Linked DNA regions of Rhinolophus ferrumequinum. The protein of the gene in region 1 purifies or fractionates together with the protein of each later gene. This does not show direct contact. Links are inferred from orthologs where the notes say so. Each region holds a gene or a part of one and is shown in the gene's direction. Other genes may lie near its edges.

The links.
Region 2: the proteins of MRGBP (region 1) and MBTD1 purify together in Homo sapiens (affinity purification with mass spectrometry; 4 studies listed by BioGRID and IntAct, counting the BioPlex papers as one, with this or other methods). This does not show direct contact. The link is inferred for Rhinolophus ferrumequinum from reciprocal best matches to the Homo sapiens genes MRGBP and MBTD1.

Annotation. Positions count from the first base shown.
Region 1 is NC_046306.1:928,313-938,685, reverse strand, and holds MRGBP (MRG/MORF4L-binding protein), read left to right. Parts: upstream 1-6,486; 5' UTR 6,487-6,554; coding exon 6,555-6,702; intron 6,703-6,997; coding exon 6,998-7,119; intron 7,120-8,472; coding exon 8,473-8,554; intron 8,555-8,780; coding exon 8,781-8,855; intron 8,856-9,412; coding exon 9,413-9,600; 3' UTR 9,601-10,370; downstream 10,371-10,373.
Region 2 is NC_046304.1:32,512,989-32,523,244, forward strand, and holds the start of MBTD1 (MBT domain-containing protein 1), read left to right. Parts: upstream 1-5,907; 5' UTR 5,908-6,171; intron 6,172-6,222; exon of another isoform or gene 6,223-6,456; intron 6,457-7,085; 5' UTR 7,086-7,148; intron 7,149-10,256. UniProt on the Homo sapiens protein: Chromatin reader component of the NuA4 histone acetyltransferase complex, a multiprotein complex involved in transcriptional activation of select genes principally by acetylation of nucleosomal histones H4 and H2A.

The DNA of each region.
Region 1 (10,373 bases):
GAACAGCTCCGACAGCCTCACTGCCGGCGTCCTGCAAACACCAGGCTGAGCTCGAGGTTCTTCAAAGTCAAGTGCCCGTGAGTGACTGTAAACAACTCTCTATTAATTACTTGCCAAGGAGCCCAAAACAGCTGCCCAGTCCACAGCTGTGTGTGAGCCCAGACTTGATTCTAAATCTTGTCTTTTCATTTTCTGTGCTTTGAAAACATATCATTTTCAAATATATGTACCCATAATTTCCAAATGGATAATGTATGCACATGGCACAACACAAAAGAGGTACAAAGCTGATGCGGAGAAATGTCACCGTCCCTGCTCTACCCCTCAGGTCCTCCCACAGGCAGCCCCAGGAGGCCATCTCTTGTCCTGGGCAGGGACATGGGTGAGTAGCACCGAGCCCTCCGCCTCCAAGGGCAGCTCTGGGTCCTTCCAGGCAGGTTCACAGGGCCACCGCCCCGTTCTCAGGAAGGTGGCAGACGTCCACACCCCAACTCCCAGGGCCTGGAATATGTGTCGTGTTATGTGACAGGGCAAAGGGACTTTGCAGATGTGATTAAGGCCACAAACACTGTGGGGCAGAGTGTCCTGGGTTACCAGGTGGCCCCACGGAGTCACATGAACCATTTCCCAGGCATCTCTGGAGCAGGAGGTAAAGTCAGGGAGACTCAGAGTGTAAGAAGGACCCCACCTGCCTTCACTGGCTTCCCTGGGCCGGAGAAGAAGGGGACAGCTGGGGGCCACAGCCAGCCAGGACAGACCCTCAGTCCTATAGCTGCAAGGAACTGGATCCTGCGCATAGCTGGGGTGAGCGGGCAGCGGCTTCTTCCAGAAATGCCCAATAGGCACTCACCTGTGACACCTCGATTTCAGCGTGTGAGACTCTGAGCGGAGACCCAACCACACCAGCATGAGACAGTGAGCCGGTGCGCTTCGGCACTGCTACATTTGTGGTCATTTGTTGCAGCGGCTATAGGAAATCGATCCAGTGTCTGCTGGACTGACGACTTCGCCACAGCTTGGTACCCGTGGGCTTTTCAGTCTTTTGATAGCTTTGTGCTACTATCCCTGCACATTTTTCTGTGTGCAGAGGACAATCCACACGTGAGCCCTGAGCTCGGCCTCTCCTGTGGCCCAGTGAGTGACACACGGTCACCACCCACAGGACAGGGGAGCTGGCTCATCCAGCGCTAGGAACACGCAGGACCCATTCTGCAGATGCCATCGGATGCTGGGAGTTCTGTGGCTGTCCCCTGTGTCGTCCTGAGAAGCCTGCGTCCTGGATCTGAGTTGGGGGCCACGGGTGAGGCAGGGTGGGGCCACTGGTCACCTCTCTGCAAGGAGTGGACAGCTCCGAGCGCCTGCATCAGCTGTCCCCACTCCTCATGGTGTTCCAAGCGCTGCTCACGAGGAAAAAGATGCCGTGGGCAGGACTGGCCTGGGCCAGCGTGGCCAGCAGTGAGGGGACACAAGAGGCAGGACACAGGGACACACACTCCAGTGCAGTGTGGCCCCCAGCCGGGACCCGTGCCTTGCCAGCCCCTTCCTTCTGCTGCTGTGAGCTGTGAGTGCTGCCCACTAGTGCTCACCTCCTCTGGTGACCAGCCCTGCCAAGCATTTGGCTTTCCCAGGAAGGACCTTATAAGCCCCAGGGCCCGGCTGGGACACAGGCCCAGGTTTGTGCTCAGATGGGCTGAAATGTTCTGGGTCCATGTCTTACTCAAGCTCGAGAGAAAGCATTTGCTTTGCAGGAAGACGTTCCAGGCACTTTCTCAATACACAGAGCCTCCTCTGGCGGATACGCGGGGACCCCAAGTTCTGAAATGGAGCAGCTGGTGTCAAAGGGCAAACGAAGTAGCCCGGGGGTCCACTACAACATGAGGTCAGAGTCCTCCCTCCTCAGTCAAGGTTTCCTGGGCTTGCTGCACAGAGACCTGCCCAATTTGGCTGTTGGTGGAGCCCCAGACCCCACAGAGGCGCACGGGCCCAACTCCACAAGCCAGCGGCAGTAGGAAAGAAAGGACTGTGGGAAACTCAAGCGTCGGTTTTTACAGGAAACAGAGTTCTCAATGGCCGAGAGTCGGGTGGTTGAGGAAACCACGGCACACAGATGGGGGATCCTTAGCACCATTTGTGTGACTGCGGTGAGGTGGGCAGACCGGGTCGACCTAGACGGTACAGTTCTAAGGGAGAGAAGCAGCCCTCTCCCTCATGCAGAAAGACGAGTGCGGCAACAGACTAAAGAAAACGGCAGGTGAGCACCTGTGGCCTCTAGGCAACCGACCCCACCCGCCTTGGCCCTGTCTGCTTTCCTCCACTATCAGAGCAGTAGCTGTGCTCTTCTCATCTGTCTCCCTTGTCTCCAACACAGCAGCCGTGCTGTGTTCCCACGTCGGTGCCTGGCACATAGCTAGTGGGTGCCCGGCAAACGTCTGTAGGATGCATGGATAGATGGATGGATGACGGATGGAGAAGGAGACGTACAGCACACTGCACATGGTACAGAGCCTGGCTCAGGAGAAGTGCAGGGCAAAAGGAATTTTATTTCAGAATGACTTTTCCTGCCTATAAGAAAAATACTCCCTTTCACAAAGAGAGCATTAGCCATTCTCCACACTGACCCAAAGAACCATTTCCTTTTGTTGCATGTGCACAAGAAAGCAGAACTGGCCTTTGGAAGCTGAATTAATGGGGAAAGATTCCATCTTTTTAAAATAAGTTCAGCCCCTTGTTGGTGCCCTTGAAACTGACTTGAGAGCTGACATGGATGAATAACCCAGGCACAACTGCTGTGGCATGTGGCAACTGTCACATCACCGTCCTGCAGCATTTTGAAGTCATAATTGTCCCAGGTTTCTAAGAGACCCAAGGAGATGAGAATAACAGTGGGAAATGACGCATGGCACCCGCCATCATGTGACCGCGTAAAAGGCTTCATCTTAAAATAAATAGAACGGGGCAGGGGACGGGGTGAGGGGAGCGGGTCTATGGGGCAGGGGCATTGCTGGAGTTGCCTTTGAGTCATCTTGGGGACAGGGGTCTTCAAAGCCAAGTTCAATAAAACACTAGCCTCTGGAGATCAAGGGTCCCCTCCTTGCCGTGCGGGACGGGGCTGCATTGAGCCAAGAAGCTGAGATTGTCTCCCGATTGTCCCCATCGCCCCCATCGTCCCCATGGCCCACGTGCTCTCTCTTGCTGCAGCAGGGCCCCTCATTGGGTGGGTTCCCGCACTTCACCCAGCTCTACACCGGCCTCAGCATTGACACCCCTCCTAAAGAAGGGGCTTCCTGCAAACTGGGGGCCACAGGAGGGGAGGGAGGAAGGGCTGGAACAGTCAGTCCCAGCAAGGAAAAACGAGTGGTGACCCACGGGACCCCATTCTCAGAAAAGGCAAAAGAGTGGGGGTTGGTGCTCTGGGGTCACACGGGCAGAGTGCAAAGCTTGGCCCCTATCTGGCATAGTGGACCTGTTACCCAGCATTCCCGTGCCTCAGTTTTCCCAACACAAAGAGGATAATAACAGCCAGTGGCACAGAATAAGCAGGAGACCCTCTTATTTCCTGATAGCTTGGTCCCTGCAGGTGAAGATGAGGCCATAAGCTTTCACAGCCACCATTTGCCAGCTGGACAAAGGTCCTTCCTGCAGGGCCTGGCTCTAATGACAAAAAGGCTGTGACCAAGGATTTGGAGGACCACACGTCCCACAGCAGGCTGGGATCCCCCCAAGGAACTGGAAAATGAAAAGACGATAAAAAGCAGCTCAGCCTGGCCTCCCTGCCCGTTGCAAGGCAACGTGGGAAAGCGTTGGAGGTAGTTGGGCGGCCCCTCCCTCCGTGGGCTGTACCTCGAGACCCCTGGAGGACTGCTGCCCGCCCCCAAACTGACTCAGCAGAGCGGTGCTGTGTGTGCGTGCTGACATGTGCATGCACACACGTGCAGATGTGTGCCTGGGAGAACGTGCAGTTCTGACCCACGCCCGACTGGTGTGTGAGAGCTGGCCACACTCAGGCGGAGAGGCCCAGGCCTAGCAGAGCTTGCACCCTTCTCCTCCACCTGGCCCATCCCACCCCCCGGCACCGGAGGCACACGTGACGACAGGCTTCCAGCACAAATGCACAAACACTGTCCATCAAGGCAGGGGGTGGTGAAGTCAAGGCACCCTGACCTGGGGTCCTTGACACCCACAAAACCAGCCCTGGGGAGCCAGGGCCTGGGGTCTCCCCTCGGCCATCACAGCCGAGCTGCTCACTCCCTCTACAAATCCCGATAGTGCCAAGCAGTGACAGGGCCACCCTGTCCCTCACTCACACAGCTCACCCCACTGAGGTAAGTGGGGTACTATGGACCTGGTGGCCCCCACGCTTTGGGACAAATCCAGCTGCCGACCAGAAGGCACTTCAGGCAAATTCAGGAGTACGACTATCAGATAAAATACAAGATGCCCGGTTCAATCCTAACTTTACATAATGAATACTTTTTTTATATAAGTGTATCCCATGTAATTTGGGGGACATACTTATATTGCAAAATTATTCACTGTTTATCTGAAATTCAAATTTAACTGACCATCCTCTATTTTTATATGTTAACTCTGGCAACCCCCCAAAATAAGCCACCCCCCAAAAAAAACACCAGTCAGGAATGACCAGCAACTGAGCCTGGCATCCCAGGGCTCCCCACAGCCCCTGGGCCCAGCTTAGCTCTACAGGTGACGTGGTGGGGACAGTAATACCTAGTACCAGGACAGAGTGCTGTGAGGATAAAGGGAGCTGACCACAGATCTGATGCCCCATCCCCACCCCCACCCCCAGGGCGGGACACACATCCTGGGGGTCATCACAGGGATTCCTCATATGCCCCTCCGGAAGAATTGGACTTCCTTTTCAACATGCTGTGACTGGCGACCTCTGGGTGGGCCAGGTGCCAGGAGAACAAGCCTTCACTTGGTTCCTGCCTGCACATGTTTGACTCAGAAGCTCTGGTTTGGGTCCCAACAGTGGGTGGGAGGCGCCCCCTAGAGGTGAGATGTGTGGGCTACAAGCCCTGGCTAGTGCTGGAGCACAAATCTCACCACCCAAGCTGGCAGTGCTTGGTGGGTCCCCAGGAACCTGGGGGGAAGAGGCTCTCCACTGGGAGAAGGCAGGGATGGGGTGGGGGAGAGCAGAGAGTGAGCCTGGCAGACGAACTGGGCCCCCGAGGTGTCCAGGGCACAGTAAGGAGATTAATAATGAGGAGGCCCTCCCCTTGAGCTTTTACTGCGGGAGCAGCCTGTGTCAAGTGGCTGTGGGCCGAGCTTCCTCCCCGCCACCTCGCGGCTCACATGACAGCTAGTGGCCCTGGGCCATTGCAGAATCCTCCCTGGGCCACGTCTCCCACCTGGCACTGTGGAGACTAGCGTTGCCAGCAGCCTCCTGCACAGATGGAAAGCCGAGATTCAGGCCCCGACCAGTTGACCCAGCTTTGAGTCCACCAGGCTGTCCCGGGCGATGAGGCTGCACCGCCAAGGGACAGCGCCCAGCAGCGTGCCTCCAGCTCTTTACGACGAAGCCTGAGCTGTGTCGGGCCACACAGCAGACGGCTGGCAGGGTGGCCCACCCTCATCAATAATACACCTGGGAACTGCGCCCTTGTGGGTCCCATCGCACGCAGGAGGAAGCTGAGACCTAAAGAAGCCCAGCGCGCTGCTCGACTCGCAAGCTGGCAGGCCCCAGAGGAAGGGACCCGGAAGCCCCAGCGAGAGTCTACACCACTGGCAGGCGAAGAGCGCCCTGCGCAGCAGCGTTCTCCGCCGGGGCACGGCGGGGGCGTGGCTTTGCGGGCCCGGGGCTGGGACAGGAGGGCTGGGGGCGGAGCCGGGGGCCCCGGCGGGCCTTGATTGGGTGCTGCCTTGAATTCGTCACTGGGCTGCCCCAAGTTAGCGGCACGGTCCCGGCCCCGCCCCCGGTGCCGACCAGCCATTAACACGCACTCGGGCCCCACCCCTGCCCCCGCCCAAACCGCTCCGCCGCCCGGGGTAACCCCAGTCATTCAGCCCGGAGGCCGGCGGTCACAGCGGCGGGGCCCTTTCGGCCCCTGCCCCGGTGCGCAGGAGCCCGTCCGTGCAGCGCTCAGGCCAGAGGCCAGACAGACGCAGTCGAAGCCCTTTTAACTCGCAGAACTGACAGTTGCCTGTTCTTTTTTTTCTTTCCCGCTTTATGGGGTATAATTTGCAATTCCGCCATTTACAGTCAGTGGGCTTTACCCAGACTTGTGCAGCCCGAGCGCCACAGCCTAAGATAGAGCGTTTCCATCCCTCACCTCAAATCCACTCCATTTCCGGAGGTCCGCGGGGTCGGACGGTACTGCGCTTCAGGGTCGGGCCGCCAGGGGGCGCCGCGCCGCAAGGGGACACGGCGGGCGCCCGCCGGGACCGAGCCTCCGCTGCGCCTGCGCCGGCGCCGGCGCCGCGGGCGAGCCCGAGCGCGAGCCCGCCGAGCGCGCTCCCCCCGCGAGTGCGCCTGCGCGGAGCCCGTGGCCGCGCCCGCTCCCACCCGGGGCTCGTCGCTGGGCTGCCGGGCTATGGGGGAGGCTGAGGTGGGCGGCGGCGGCGCGGCGGGCGACAAGGGTCCGGGGGAGGCGGCCACCAGCCCAGCCGAGGAGACGGTGGTGTGGAGCCCCGAGGTGGAGGTGTGCCTCTTCCACGCCATGCTGGGCCACAAGCCCGTCGGTGAGCGGAGCGCCGCGGACCTGCGTGGGGGCGGGGCGGGCAGGGCAACGGCCGGGGGCGCGCGCAGGGCGGGGCCCTCCCACCCCCTCGCCCCCTCCCCCCGCTGACCCTGCGCCTTCCTGCACCTCCCACTGTGCACCCGTGGGCCCAGGCCCCTCCCACACCCCCGTGACGCCTCTCCCCTTCTGCACCCACCCAGCACCCCCTGCTCCACCCCCCGCCCCCTGCCCCCCCCTCTCTCCTCACTCCCACCCCGTCGCCTCCCCCACGCTGACCCCTGCCTCCTCTCCCGTAGGTGTGAACCGCCACTTCCACATGATCTGTATCAGGGACAAGTTCAGCCAGAACATCGGCCGGCAGGTGCCGTCCAAGGTCATCTGGGACCACCTGAGCACCATGTACGACATGCAGGCGCTGGTGAGCTGGCCCCCGCCCCCCCAGTTCCCGAGGCCAGAGACCCGCCTTCCCTCAGACGCAGCGGCGGCGGGGTCCCCCCCAGGCCCTGTCCTCAGAGAACCTGCCATGCCGCTGGGGACGTGTCATTAAACGAGGTGGTTCCAAGGGTCCTACAAGCAGCACAGACCCCAGTGATGGAAGCTGGGCCCCCGGACACAGCCCCTTTTAGGTGGGGGGTCAGTGGAGGGCTCTTCAGGAAGAGAGCCGGGAGCCCCGGCCACCGTGGCTCTTACGGGCGGCCCCCGAGTGCTCTGGGCCGGAAGGTGACCGGATTCCAGCCAGGCTCAGATGAGCACCAGGCAGGCAGGGTCCCAGGCCCCATGGAATTCCCAGCTCGCCCGGTTACCTAGTGACCAGGACGGTCAGCAGGGACAGGTGGGTGTTCCTGGCAGAGAAACAGCAGGTGTCAGGCCGGGCGGCAGCACTTGGGGGCCGAGGAGCGGGCCTGGGCTGGGTTAGGGACGGCTCTGCCTCCCTGCTGGGCTCTGGGCCACGCCAGCCGTCCATCCTAGACGTGCGTGCGCATCACAGATGGAGAGCGTCCGGATCCCGTGCGCCCCTCGCTTCCTGTTGGCCTTGGACAAGTCGTTTGAGTCATTTGGGTCTCCTTGCCGTAGGCAGATGGGATAAAGGTGATGCTGTGCCCTGGACCCCACCCGCAGGGCGACCAGCGGGGCACCCAGCATCCTGTGGGGTTTCGCAGCTCCCAGAGCTGGCTGCCTGGTTTAACACGGCCGCTGAGAGTGGCAGGGTGGCATCGCCTCCCACCAGCTCACCTGCCTTCCTCGGGCGCTCCCTGTGTCCGAGGCGCTCCGCCTTCTGGCATGCGTGCCCTGCAGGACAGGTGGAACCTGACAGGCTGGCTGTGGTGCCCGGCGCCCTCTGCTCTCCTTACCTGCTGTCTGCAGGTGGCTTTCCCGGCCGACACCCTCAGTGTCTTCAGACTGCTCCCACATAGACAACCTCAGGGCTGTCCCTGCCTTCTGAAGGCGACAGCTGCTGCCCGCTTCTGCTCCTGAGGGCCTGTGTCCCTGAGGGCCTGAGTGTCGTCTCAGGTGACACTAAACCGTCTTTCGTCCCCCTCCTGACTCCTGCCAGTGTTGGCAATGTACTTGCGTCTTCTCTGGGCCCATCGATTGTGCCAGCAGAAGAACGAGCGGTCTTCACCCCTTCATGCGTACCTCAGCAGCCCCCCAAGATGGCTCTGTGCGTCCCCGGGGTGCTCCTGAATTGGCTCATACGCAGTTTTACTCACTTGCCAAAATCATCTTTTCTTTTTTGTTTCTAAAAATAAAATGCCTTATTTGCCACCAGCATGAGTCTGAGATTCTTCCATTCCCGAACCCAGAGAGGAACTTCGTCCTCCCAGAAGAAATCATCCAGGAAGTCCGGGAAGGTGAGACTCAGGCGAGGTCAGCTTTGGGAGCTCGAAAGGCAGGCTGTGGTATCAGGGTGAAGGTCACGAGCCTTGGGGAGGAGTTAGGGTGACTGGCATTGAGGCTCGGCCCGCCACGGTGGAGGAGGATTTCTTCAAGAGCCGTCGGCTTCTCTAGAAGGGGCCGGGCAGCCTGAGCCCCCCACCAGTGTGGGCCTTTGGGAAATGGCAGCCATCTCCCTCACAGGAAAGGTGATCATTGAAGAGGAAATGAAGGAGGAAATGAAGGAAGATGTGGACCCCCACAACGGGGCCGACGATGGTAAGTACGGAACACACCCCGTCCCTTCCCTGGGGTCCCCGAGGGACATGGCACCCCACCCCTGGCCGGGCCTCCCCACAGAATGTAGCCACAGATCCTGGCCTGGATTTCTGGTCCCTGGCAGCCAGAGCTGCTCTGCCTGGTCCCACAGTTGAGAAGTACTTTCCATGTACTCAGGCAGGAGCCTGGCCCTGTGGACAGCACGTGTGTGGCCGACACCATGAATGCACCGCGGCGGCCTCGGGCACTGAGGCCCAGTCAGGCAGACCCAGTATGCAGGGCAGGCGGTCCACGTGAAAGTGTGTGGGTCGTCTCAGTACAGGGCAGACCGAGTGTCAGCCGGTTCCCCCGGGCGGGACAGGGTCCTACAGCCTGAGCCAGTGCTGCCCAAGGCACGTCCTCAGGAGGACCGGGCCCTTGTCAGGACCGCCCGCAGCTCAGGAGAGGCTTGTGGGTTCAGAGTGTTGAGTTTGTGGATATAGAATGTTTTAACTGAACAGGAAGATGAAATAAAATTCTGGATATTCTGTTTTCAGCTAAATGATTTTGTCTCCCAGTTTTCTCATCTTCAGGAAGCTTGGGGAAAGCAACCGAAAGGTCTGGCAAAGACAAAGAGAAGAACGCCTCCGACTTGGGGGCCAAGGAAGGGGCGGACAAGCGCAAGCGCAGCCGGGTCACCGACAAGGTCCTGACCGCCAACAGCAACCCCTCCAGCCCCAGTGCCGCTAAGCGGCGCCGAACGTAGACACTTGCACGGGTGCAGGCGGGCGGTCACAGCCGTGGTCACCCCCCTGGGGGCCAATGCTCTGGCCTCTGCTGCCTGCCCTGGGGCCCGGGGGCTCCACTCACCATCTGGGGCTCAGGTGGACCCCAAAGACCAGGACCTCCCCGCCCAGGCCTCAAGAGCTTTGTGACCCAGGCTCATCTGCGTAGCTCGTCTGCACGTCCCAGAGGCCACACACGGGCTGAGGGTCCAGGGTGTGGGCAGCAGAGAAGGCCTAGAACAGCAAGCAATAAAACCCCACCTCCCAGGGCTGCGAGTCTTCCCAGGGTCCGTCTCTCCGTCTGTGCGCCGCTCTTGCTCAACTGACTGCGACCTCAGGAGAAAGTCAGGCCATCGAGCCACACACGGCGGCCTCTCCGTCACCGCCAGAGAAACTGGGGACTGGATGTGTTGGCTCATTCACTTGTACTGTAATGATGTATATAATTTGGTTGCTATTTCACTATTTAATTTTTAAGAAGCCTATTTTACTAGTGTTTTATATGAAAAACATACTGCAGAAGTGAAAAACCTGTGTTGTATTTTTTTGAGATGTTTTCTTTTAAGGTAACGACCACTGAGATCCTTTTGCTCAGTTTTTATATGCCAGATACAGAGAATTTGTAGTGGTTATTTTTGTATCACCGAGTAACTTGCACACCGAGCAGTGAGTGAGTGGAGGGAGGGCCAGGCACCTGCTGGGCTGACAGGAATACACTCCGATTGCCGAACATTAAAGCAACAGAAAGTAACCC
Region 2 (10,256 bases), on another chromosome or scaffold:
CTGTAGAAGAGAAAGAGTTCCAGAAATCTGCATAGGAGTCTGCAGATACTTTTGCTGAATACTAAGCTGCACACTCACAGGATGAAAACTCCATGAGGTCGTGCAAAGAAAGCTACTAGGGAGCTGGAAGTTGCACAATACCAAAGCTCAGACACTTTGGTTTCCAACCAGTTAGAGGGAAGGTCCTCACTGAACACTTGGGGCATTCAGTAGAGATCCCAGAAAGGGCATGCCTTAGTAATGGAGCTAAACCAGCCCAGAGTATAATATGCTACTCTAGAACAAAGCTGAAAACAAATCTTGAAAGGATCAAACTGATCTCCAAGCCAATTAACTTCCTGCCAACACAAAGTTCAACACTCATTAAAAGCAAAATACAAAATCCAGATACTGACAACTTAACATTCACACTCCTCCGAATCCAATCAAAATTACCAGAGATGCAGAGAAGCAGAAAACCATGGCCCATAATAAGTAGAAAAATCAGTCAACAGAAACACAGAATGACAAACATAAGAAAAGTAGCACACAAGAACTTTGAAGTATCTAATACAAATAGATTCAAGTCTTTACAGGAAGCGTTAACATAACAAAAGGGAAAAATAGGAACTAAACAAAACTCAACAAGGTCTCAAGCGGAAAAGATCTTCTAAAGCTGAAAAATGTAATGCCTGAAATAACAGACTCACTCAATGTGCTTAACAGGTGTAAGACTACATACTACATGGTTTCATTTAGATAACACTCTGGAAAAGGCAAATCTGTAAGGATAGAAAACACATCAGTGGTGGTCAGGGGTTAGATAGGTTAAAAGCTGAGGAAAGAGGATAGACTACAAAGGGGTATAAGAGGATTTCAGGGGAGGGTGATGGCAACGGTCCATATTTTGATTTCTTATCTTAATTGTTGTGGTGCTTATATGACTATATGTGTTTAACAAAACTCATGAAGATACTTTAAGAGTGAATTTTACTGTGTGTACATTATACTTCAATAAACCTTTTTTTTTTAAGTGATAATATGATAAACCTCTAGGATATTAAAAAGTGTCACTTATAGGGGTGGCCGGTTAGCTCATTTGGTTACATCATGGTGCTAATAACACCAAGGTTGCCAGTTCCATCCCCACATGGGCCACTGTGAGCTGTGCCCTCCTTAAAAAAAAAAAAAAAAAAAAAGTCACTATAAGCAAAAATAAAATATTTTTAAAGATTTTTAGAGCTCTGTAAGTTTAAACTGGAAGAATCAATATGAAACCATTATTTTAAAATATACATTTATTTCCTGGCTCTGTTCAACTAAAAGAACATAGAAATTGTGAAAAAGAGATGGTTTACCATATACAAATGAAACAAGTAAGCAATATCATCACTGATTATATTTGGGTGGTGGGATTACAAATTTTTTCCAGATATTTTTGGACTTGTATTTCCTCTTCCCCCAAAATACTAAAATTTAATCATTTGTCCCAATAGCAATGCTATTACAGCCAAAGACTGAGTGAATCAAAATAAACTGGTTATAAACACCTCCTGATTAAACTGTATAAAAAAGGATACTTACTCTTCTTTAAGTCTTTTTTGAAGCTCATCTTTTGACAGTTTATTTTCACTGGTGTTTTTCATCATATCTTTCCGAAAACGATTGCTTATCATGTCAACCCTATAAAAAACAGAAGAGCGTACTTTAAATGACTTTTAAAGAACCAACATAAATAGTTGTTGCCTTTAGTAGTTAGAGAAAATATTTAATTGAACAATATATATATCAAGATTTATAAGACCTGAACCATCTCAGACACACATTCTCCATTTTTCCCAAAACAGCAAGGAGTCTCCAATATTTCAGATCATCCAGTTTACTCTTTGAAGAACTAATATTTCCAATTCATAATGACTTATCTAGACGTGGCTTATGCCATTCACCTAAATAAATTCTAGGTAAAACAAAGAATTAAATATATTAAAAAAAACCCAAACCTTAAAATACTATGAAGGAAGAATATAGGCAAACATTTCTCTCTCTCTGATGGACTTTTTACTGTTAAAAACAACAACAAAAAAAGGAGAAAAAATTCACAGATTTGACTATCTAAAAATTTAACTACTCTGACAACATTAACAACAAAATTAAAAGGCAAACAAAGCTGGGAGAAAATCTACAATAAATTTGACATATCAAGGTCTGAAATTCTCAGTATATAAGGAGTTGATATAGGAAGATCATTAAGAAACAGTCTCATCCTGCCATTTGTGACATGAATGAACCTGGAGGACATAATGCTAGGTGAAATATGACAGGTACAAAGGAAAAATACTGAATGATCTCACTTGTATGTGTAACCTAAAAAAAGTAAAACACATAGAAGCATAAAGTAGAATGGTGGTTACCACTGGTGGAGAAGTGGGGGAAATGGGGAGACGTTGGTCAAAAGTTACAAAGTTGCAGTTATGTAGGATGAATAAGCCTAGAGAGCTAATATACAGCCTGACTACAGTTAATAATACCGTATTGTATACTACAAATTTACTAAGAGAATAGGTTTCAGGTGCTCTCAACACAAAAAAGGTAACTATATGAGGAGACAAATATGTTAATTAGCTATGGAAATTATAGTTAATTCATACATGAACTATAACACATCCATTTAAAAATGTTTATACAGGTTTTTTTAAAGTGAGGAGAAAGGTGTGCGATATACTCATTCTTATCCAAGTACATATTGTGTGTTATTAGCTAACTTTTTTTAGCCTTTTCTCGGTTTCAGGTTCTATGCTAAGAGCTCTACATACACTATTTCGTTTAATCTCAAAAGCCTTCTGACACAATTACTATCATCATTCCCATTTTATAAACTTGTCCATGGTCAGTTAGGAACTGGTCAAATCAGGAGGCAAACGCAAGTCTAGACTGCGAAGAAGAGGAGAGGGCCAACATGTTGATAGTGGTTCTACCTCGGTGGCTGGATTAAGAATGACCTTTCCTATACTTTCCCATTATTTTTCAAATCTTCACATAATCACATATTCATAAAGAGAACTTTTTACAAAATGTGCAATATAATTTTGAAAGTATTCAGAGGGATTCTGGAAGAAAAGTTAGGCAACTTACATTTCCTCATCTTCATCTTCTTCATCCACCCAAACTGGCTTCTTTTGAGGTGGGAAATTATCTTTCGCTTCATTCTCCACTTCAGAGTCACCTGAGTCTTCCAGTGCTTGAACCTTGAGAAGACAAAACGATCTCAAGCACTGAATTTTTCACATCCAATGGTGGCAGACACACACATCTTGAAGTCAAATGGCTTGTAGAATGGTTTGCTTTTACAACCCTCTGATGAAATAGGACAGAATGCTATCACAGGAAATGCTGAAGACAGAATAGAAAATAAGATTAGAGAATGGCACCACAGGCTGAGCAGGTGAGGTAAGATGGAACAGTCAAGGAGTGAAAGTCTACATGCTCACAGGAAAACACCAAGTAAGACAAGAACAACAAAAGGAAGATGACCGATAAAGAAAGGGGGGGGGGGGGCGGGAGACCAGGAACTCCAGAAATTAAGGGACCAGAGGCAAACTAGCATCAAAAATAAAATAACATGGCCAGCCCGGTGGCTCAGGCGGTTAGAGCTCCATGCTCCTAACTCCGATGGCTGCCAGTTCGATTCCCACATGGGCAGTGGACTCTCAACCACAAAGCTGCCAGTTCAATTTCTCGAGTCACGCAAGGGATGGTGGGCTCTGCCCCCTGCAACTAAGATTGAACACGGCACCTTGAGCTGAGCTGCCGCTGAGCTCCCAGATGGCTCAGTTGGTTGGAAAGCGTCCTCTCAACCACAAGGTTGCCGGTTCGATTCCCCCAAGGGATGGTGGGCTGCGCCCCCTGCAACTAACAACGGCAACTGGACCTGGAGCAGAGCTGCGCCCTCCACAACTAAGATTGAAAGGACAACTTGAAGCTGAACAGCACCCTCCACAACTAAGATTGAAAGGACGACTTGACTTGGGAAAAAAGTCCTGGAAGTACACACTGTTCCCCAATAAATTTCTGTTCCCCTTCCCCAACAAAATCTTTAAAAATAAAATAACATAATTGAATATCATAGTTAACTCATATTTCATATTCTTAGACATACCTCTTCTCCATTTTTCTTAATCGTTCTTGATCCCCTACCTTTTCAAACTTTATACTGTACTATCAAGTCTAAATGTAGACCACAGAGTACTCCCTAAAGTGAGCTTGAGCTTTCCCAAAACCACGATAGAAATGTCCAAATGATTTCTACTTGCTGTTACCAGCCTATTATCCTTCAAAACCCAACAAATCCCACTTCATGTGGACTGTTTCTTTTCCTGACTAGGAAACTGTCACACAGTTCAGCACTTTTCCAGTAGTAGTTCTCTGATTCCCTACTAAGTTTCTGCAGCTTCATCCGTAAGCACCCAAAGGAGGTTCTGGCAATCAATCAGTTGATACTTGCTAGGTCCACGTTCATTTGCCAGACTGCATAATTCTCAGTGAGGCTTTATTTGACCATCCTAAGTAAAATGTCACAGACCTTCTCTCTACACACACTTATCTCCTTTTTCTCAAGTGCTTTAATGTTTTTCTTTTCAGGACTAGTCATTGACATACTTGAGTTTTACAGAAGTACTTATCTCCTTTATTTTCTGCCTCTGCCACTAGTACTCCAGGAGGCAGGGATTTTTGTCAATTTTTATCCACTGCTGTTTCTCCTCCAATGCCTAGAACAATGCCTGGGACTATCTTCGGAAAAATTCCAGATATATAATAAAAAGGATGAGAGAAAGTGCAAAAATTATAACAACTCAGGGTTTTTACAACCAGGAAAAGTATCTAGTACCCGATAGGCTCACAAATACTTGAAAAAACGAATACGTGGTCATTCTCAAAGATTGGCGAGTCAATCACTTGGGGAGATGTTAAAAGGCAGATTCCCAGGCCCGTGCCCACGAATTCAGATTCCACAAACGAAGTGGAACTCCTGAATCACCGCAAGGTACCGAGGCAGGCGATCGTCCGAACACAAGGAAAAAAACACTGAGTTTGAGGATAGTGGGGCTGAATCACCAAAGATGCGCATGACCCAGTTCGCTAAACAAATACGTGTTGAGCGCCTGCTGGATACTAGGCGCAGAGGCTCCCACGGGGGCGGAGAAAGGCGCGGTCTCCGCCCTCCCGAGACTTTCCGTTTGAGCCCCGTCGGCGCCCGCGTTCTCGGGCTCCCTCCCACCTGAGAGCTCCCCGGCGTCGCAGGTCGCCTAGACTCCGTCCCCGGAGGCTTGCCGCCCAGCGCGCGCCCCACCCGAGCGCGCCCAGCCCGCTCGCCGCGGACTCCCTCACCCGTGGGCCTCGCAAACGCTGCAGCAGCGCGTCCTCATTGTCCTCGACGTCGCCGAAGACCAGCTCCTCCAGGCACCGCTCCACTACTGGCTTGTCCTCCTCCAGCGTCAGGCGGTTCCGCTGCCGGAGCCGTTTCTCCTCCTCCACGGCGATTGCGATCGCAGCGGCCGCTGCTCTCGGCCGAGTCAGCGGTTTCCGCTGGGATGAAGGAGCAGCCTTTCGGGGCGGCCCGTCCGGCCCCGCTCCGGCTCTCCGATCCCGCTTCATTCGAGTCTTCTGGTTCAACCTCGTTCCGGTTCTCCGGTCCGGTCTCGTTCGGGTGCCCCGTTCAGGCGGCATCGTTAGCTTTGAGAAGAAACGCAGGTACTCACGTGGAGCCTCACTGCGCGTGCGCCGAAGCGCCTGTCTAGCCACTGTAGCTGAGGCCCCGGCGGGAGGGAAGGAGCCTGCGCAGCCTGCTAGCACGTGACCAACACTCTTTTTCCCTACGTAACGCCCACTCCCCTCACGAGCCCCTCCCCGTATGGGAGTTCCTCCGGGAGGACCAATCTTCCGGGTGGAAGGGGAGGCGGCGTGACTGGAGTGGAAAATTTTTTCCAACACAACTTAGCAGCTTCAACTGATTGAAAGGAGCACAAGAAAGCCAGAGTATAAACTAAGATGACTGAATGAAACTTCTCTTTCTCCTGACTTTTTGACCACTCGACTTAACACGAGCCTCAATTGCCTTTTCCACCCCTCCGTCTTGGTACGGCCCTTGGAGTACGGAGCCTGCAGAGGGTCCCACGCTGGAAGAGAGAGAGGAGGGTATGTAGGGAAGTGGGCCAATCGGGGCGCGGGTCACGGCGCAGGCGCGCTGGGGAGGGAGGGCTATGCTAATGTTGTTGATATCCTGGGGCCACCCGAGTTAAAGGGGGGAAATCCGGGGGCTGCCGCAGCCGCCACCGGTCTGGGCCCAGCCAGGGCACCCCTGTAGTCGCCGTAGTCCCGGGGAGAGGCGCCTGACCCCAGCCCGGGGAGAGGGCGCCGCCGGCCCGGGGAGCACGGACAACCCCTACCCATGAGGCCCTGATGGAAAACACAAAGGATCTGGTGAGAGCCTAGCGCGGCAGCCGCTTTGTGTACCAGGTGGGGGGGACGCTTGCAGCTCCCCGACCCTAGGAAGTCCTGCAGCTCCTTGACCCGGCTCCCAGGCCTGTTTCTCCATCCCACGCCCCCTCAACCTCCGGAGCTCCCCTCCCCCTACCGGCCGTTAAACGATCCAGGGGGTTCCCCTCCCCCCACCCCCTCAGCCCCGCTCTCCTCGGGGTTCTCTCTACACTTTTCTCTATCTGGAACAAAAATTTTAAAAGAAAGTTTTCCTCTGCGTCCCGCCCCCTCCCCCTTCAGCTCTGGCTGTAGAAGAAGTCTGGGTTTGAGACTTTCCCTTTTTCAGCCGCCCAGGGTGGGAGAGTGGAGTCCTCACTTCCCCCAGGGAGGCCTAGTTGTAGTACTTTGTGGAGGAAGGCGCCGGGCCGCTTTAGGGCGAGTGCCGCGAGGCCTTTCGCACGTGGAGGTGGAAATATTGAAAGGGGGCGGGGTGGGCACATGTGGGAGGGAGAGGTGGGAGTGGTGTTTGCGAAGCAGCCGCCTGGGCCGCTGTAGTTTACAAGGGTTCTAGGTCCGTGGGCTTCTATGACGAGTGTGTTCTCTTTTGTGAAATAAGAATCCTAACATTTCAGAGTCGGAAGAGACATTAGAGGTCATCACAGCAGCCGTCCCCTCTGCAGCTTCTCTGACAACTGGTAGGTAGCCTGGCCTTTGCTTAAACTCCTGCAAACACGAGCGATCGCTGCTAGCCAGGAAAGCCTGCTCTGTTTTTCAGTTGTCCTGATTGTTTGCCTCCCCTTAACAGACCCTGCAGTCTCTTCATGTCCTGGTTACGCTGCTCCCTTTTTTACTTCTCAAATTTTCTCTCACATCCTCCTCACTCACCCACCCACCGCTCACTGGCCTATATTTTGTGTGCCAGGAAAGAACGTCAGGGAAGTGGAGGGAGGAGGGTTTGCGAGCTAGTGAGGTCCTTGCTGAAGACTTTGCGGGGTCAAGTTTCAAAAGTGGTGGCTTATGTGTCTAAGAAGGATTGATATTTTACTACTGAAAGCTTGGAAAGTATGGTTTGGGGATTTCGTGCCTGTGCTCTCTCGCTAGTGCATCTCTTTGAAATTTCAGCAGCATCTCTGTAGTTCTGTCTCAGAGCACCTTTGCTCGTTGCCTAAAGCGCTTTCCCTAAGGATGCGCCTAAAACTGCTTCTTGGGGGTAGTACTGACGCTATTAGAGGGATGATCGGAAGAAACCCCCCTTCCTCCTTTTGACCTGCGTTTTCCTTCAAAGCTGGTCTTCCTTTTCAGGGCCTCTCTTTCACAGTGCTTTCATTTCTTTCTAGTTTTTTCCAAGTCTTTTATGAGCTTTGAAACTTTTGCAACACTTTAATATTTGCTTAGTTTGCGATATTTTTTGTGCTTTTTACATTAATATGTGCCAGTATTTATCGGTTGGTAGTTGAGAGAGTTCAGTTTCTACTATTGTCTGTCACTTAGTGTTTTTCTATTGTTCTCCTTCATTTGGTGAGCTTTACTGCCTCCAAAAGTATGATAGTTTTGTTGGCATGAGAATCTTGGGGGCACATGTTTTCCTCTTCCTACTATGGTGAAGTGGGAGTCCAGACATAACAGGGAAAATGTAGAAGTAATGAATCCGATCTAAAAGCCAGGGAATAAATTTCACTTTAAACTCCCAGTCCCGTTTAAAATGTTAGAGCACAGACATTTTTTCTCTCTCCCCCTTTTATGACTTAGAGACTGTTGTTCTGCTCCAGTGTGCTTAAACTATATTTTTTTTCATTTGTTTACCTCAACACTAGAGAGTGTTTAGAAAGAAAACAGCTTTTTTTGCACTGCCTCCTCTGAATAACAAATAGTTTCTATTTATATAGAACCCATACTCAAGGCTTCTGGATGCCTTGCAAATTATGGCAAAAACTGTCTTGAATAAGTATCTGTTCATAAGTATCTTATTTGGGCCATGTTTTTTAACCATTTAATTTATAATTTTATACAAACTTTGACATACAGTATTTCCTATAAATCTAGTCACTAGAATTTAACATGGCAATGGATTCTAGATACTGAAAAGAAATAATATAGATGTAAAAGTCTGTCTTTAAAGTTGTAAGTAAAGTTTTAATATGGAGCTCCAAGTTACTTCCTGCTTGCTTTAAACATGAACTGTCATGACTTAAGTTGACTGACTTTGGAGTCGTTTGCATTCTAAACATACTAGACAGGAACAACTGGTTTTATTTTTAAAGAACACGGTGCTGTATTTTTTATGGCTGGCTATATGTTGACCTAATTAGTGTCTAAACCTTCCTAGATGCTTCTAGTCCTTCAATTACATTGGAAGTTAGCAATTTAAATGGTTTTAAAACATAACATAGTAGTCAAAAGAAGGTAAAACTATAGCTTAGAAGTGAAAACAACATATTAATATCATAAATACTGAACCACTAAATTACTATAAGCCCAGAGTACAGTGGTTTGAGTGACCACATTCTAAAATTAGAAAAGTTGCTATTCTTTTGGTTGCTCCTTGTTCTCAGCTTTTCATTTTTAAAATGTTTACTAAATAAGATTTAGCCTTTTCACATTGTAATTTAAAGGTGAGCCAGTTGAAGTATCTCATTAGTTTCAGGATTTCAAATCCTAGAGAAAGATTAAAAACATCAGGACAGTAGAAGAGGAAGGACTTAAAATGGTTAAAACAAGCTAAGATATATCTCCTCTAATACCAGGGTATTCCTAAGTGTCAAAGACTAGTTTTACTTTTATGTAAATTGATTTAGATTTAATCGTAATTATTTTCATAAACCTTTTTTTATTAGGATTTTTTCCCCCAGAAATTCAGAATTGCTCTTGTTGCTTTTCTGGAACCCACAAGCAAGGGTGGAAAGAAAATAATTCTATCTGAATAAACCCTGAGTTTAGGTGGGATAAAGTGATTTAGTAAGAGGGGCACTGGCAGACTAGGTTTGGAGTTTCAGTTTTGCCACTAACCAGCTTCGTGGCACTTGATGAACAAGATCCTGTGCCTCAGTTGTGTTATCCTCACAGTTGAAGAGTTGGTTTAGAATCAGTGTTATCCAATAAAACTTGCTACAGTGATGGAAATGCCCTATATCTGTGCTGTCCAATGTGGTAGTCACTGGCCACGTGTGGCTGCTGAGCACTTAAAAGGCAGTAGCTAATGTGACTGAGGAACCCAATTTTTTAATGTAAGTTGCCACATGTCTATCATATTGAACATACAGATATATAACTGTATTTTCCAAGCTTAGCTAATAACTAGAATCACCTTTTAGGGTTCTTGTGAAAATATAAAACCTCTCTCCTGTAAGCTGTTGTTCAGGAGGTCTGTAGTGGAGCCTGGAAATCTATTTTTAATGCATGTCCCAAAAAGATTTTTATTACATTGGTTAGGGAAACACTGCATTAGAAGATTTGTGAGCTCCCTTCTAGTTCTCACTTTAGAATTGATAACCTAGCGTAGTAGAAATGAGCTTTGGACATAGTTGGCAAACTGCCTGGGCTCTAACTCTGCCACCTCCTGACCTGTGATCTTCGGCAGTTGCCTAATCTCTTTGAACTTCATTTTCCTCATCTAAAATATGGACTGAGCATCAGCCCTGCCTCCCTTCCTCCCTAGGTTTCTGGAAACCTCCAATCAGATGTGCTGACCACTGTATATGAAAATGCAAGCTGCTATAAACAGTAATTTAAATGTTATGCTATCTTCCCAGAACCCCTTTTCCTTTTTCCCTTTTCATTATGTTATCCAATTCCTACTTCGTTCT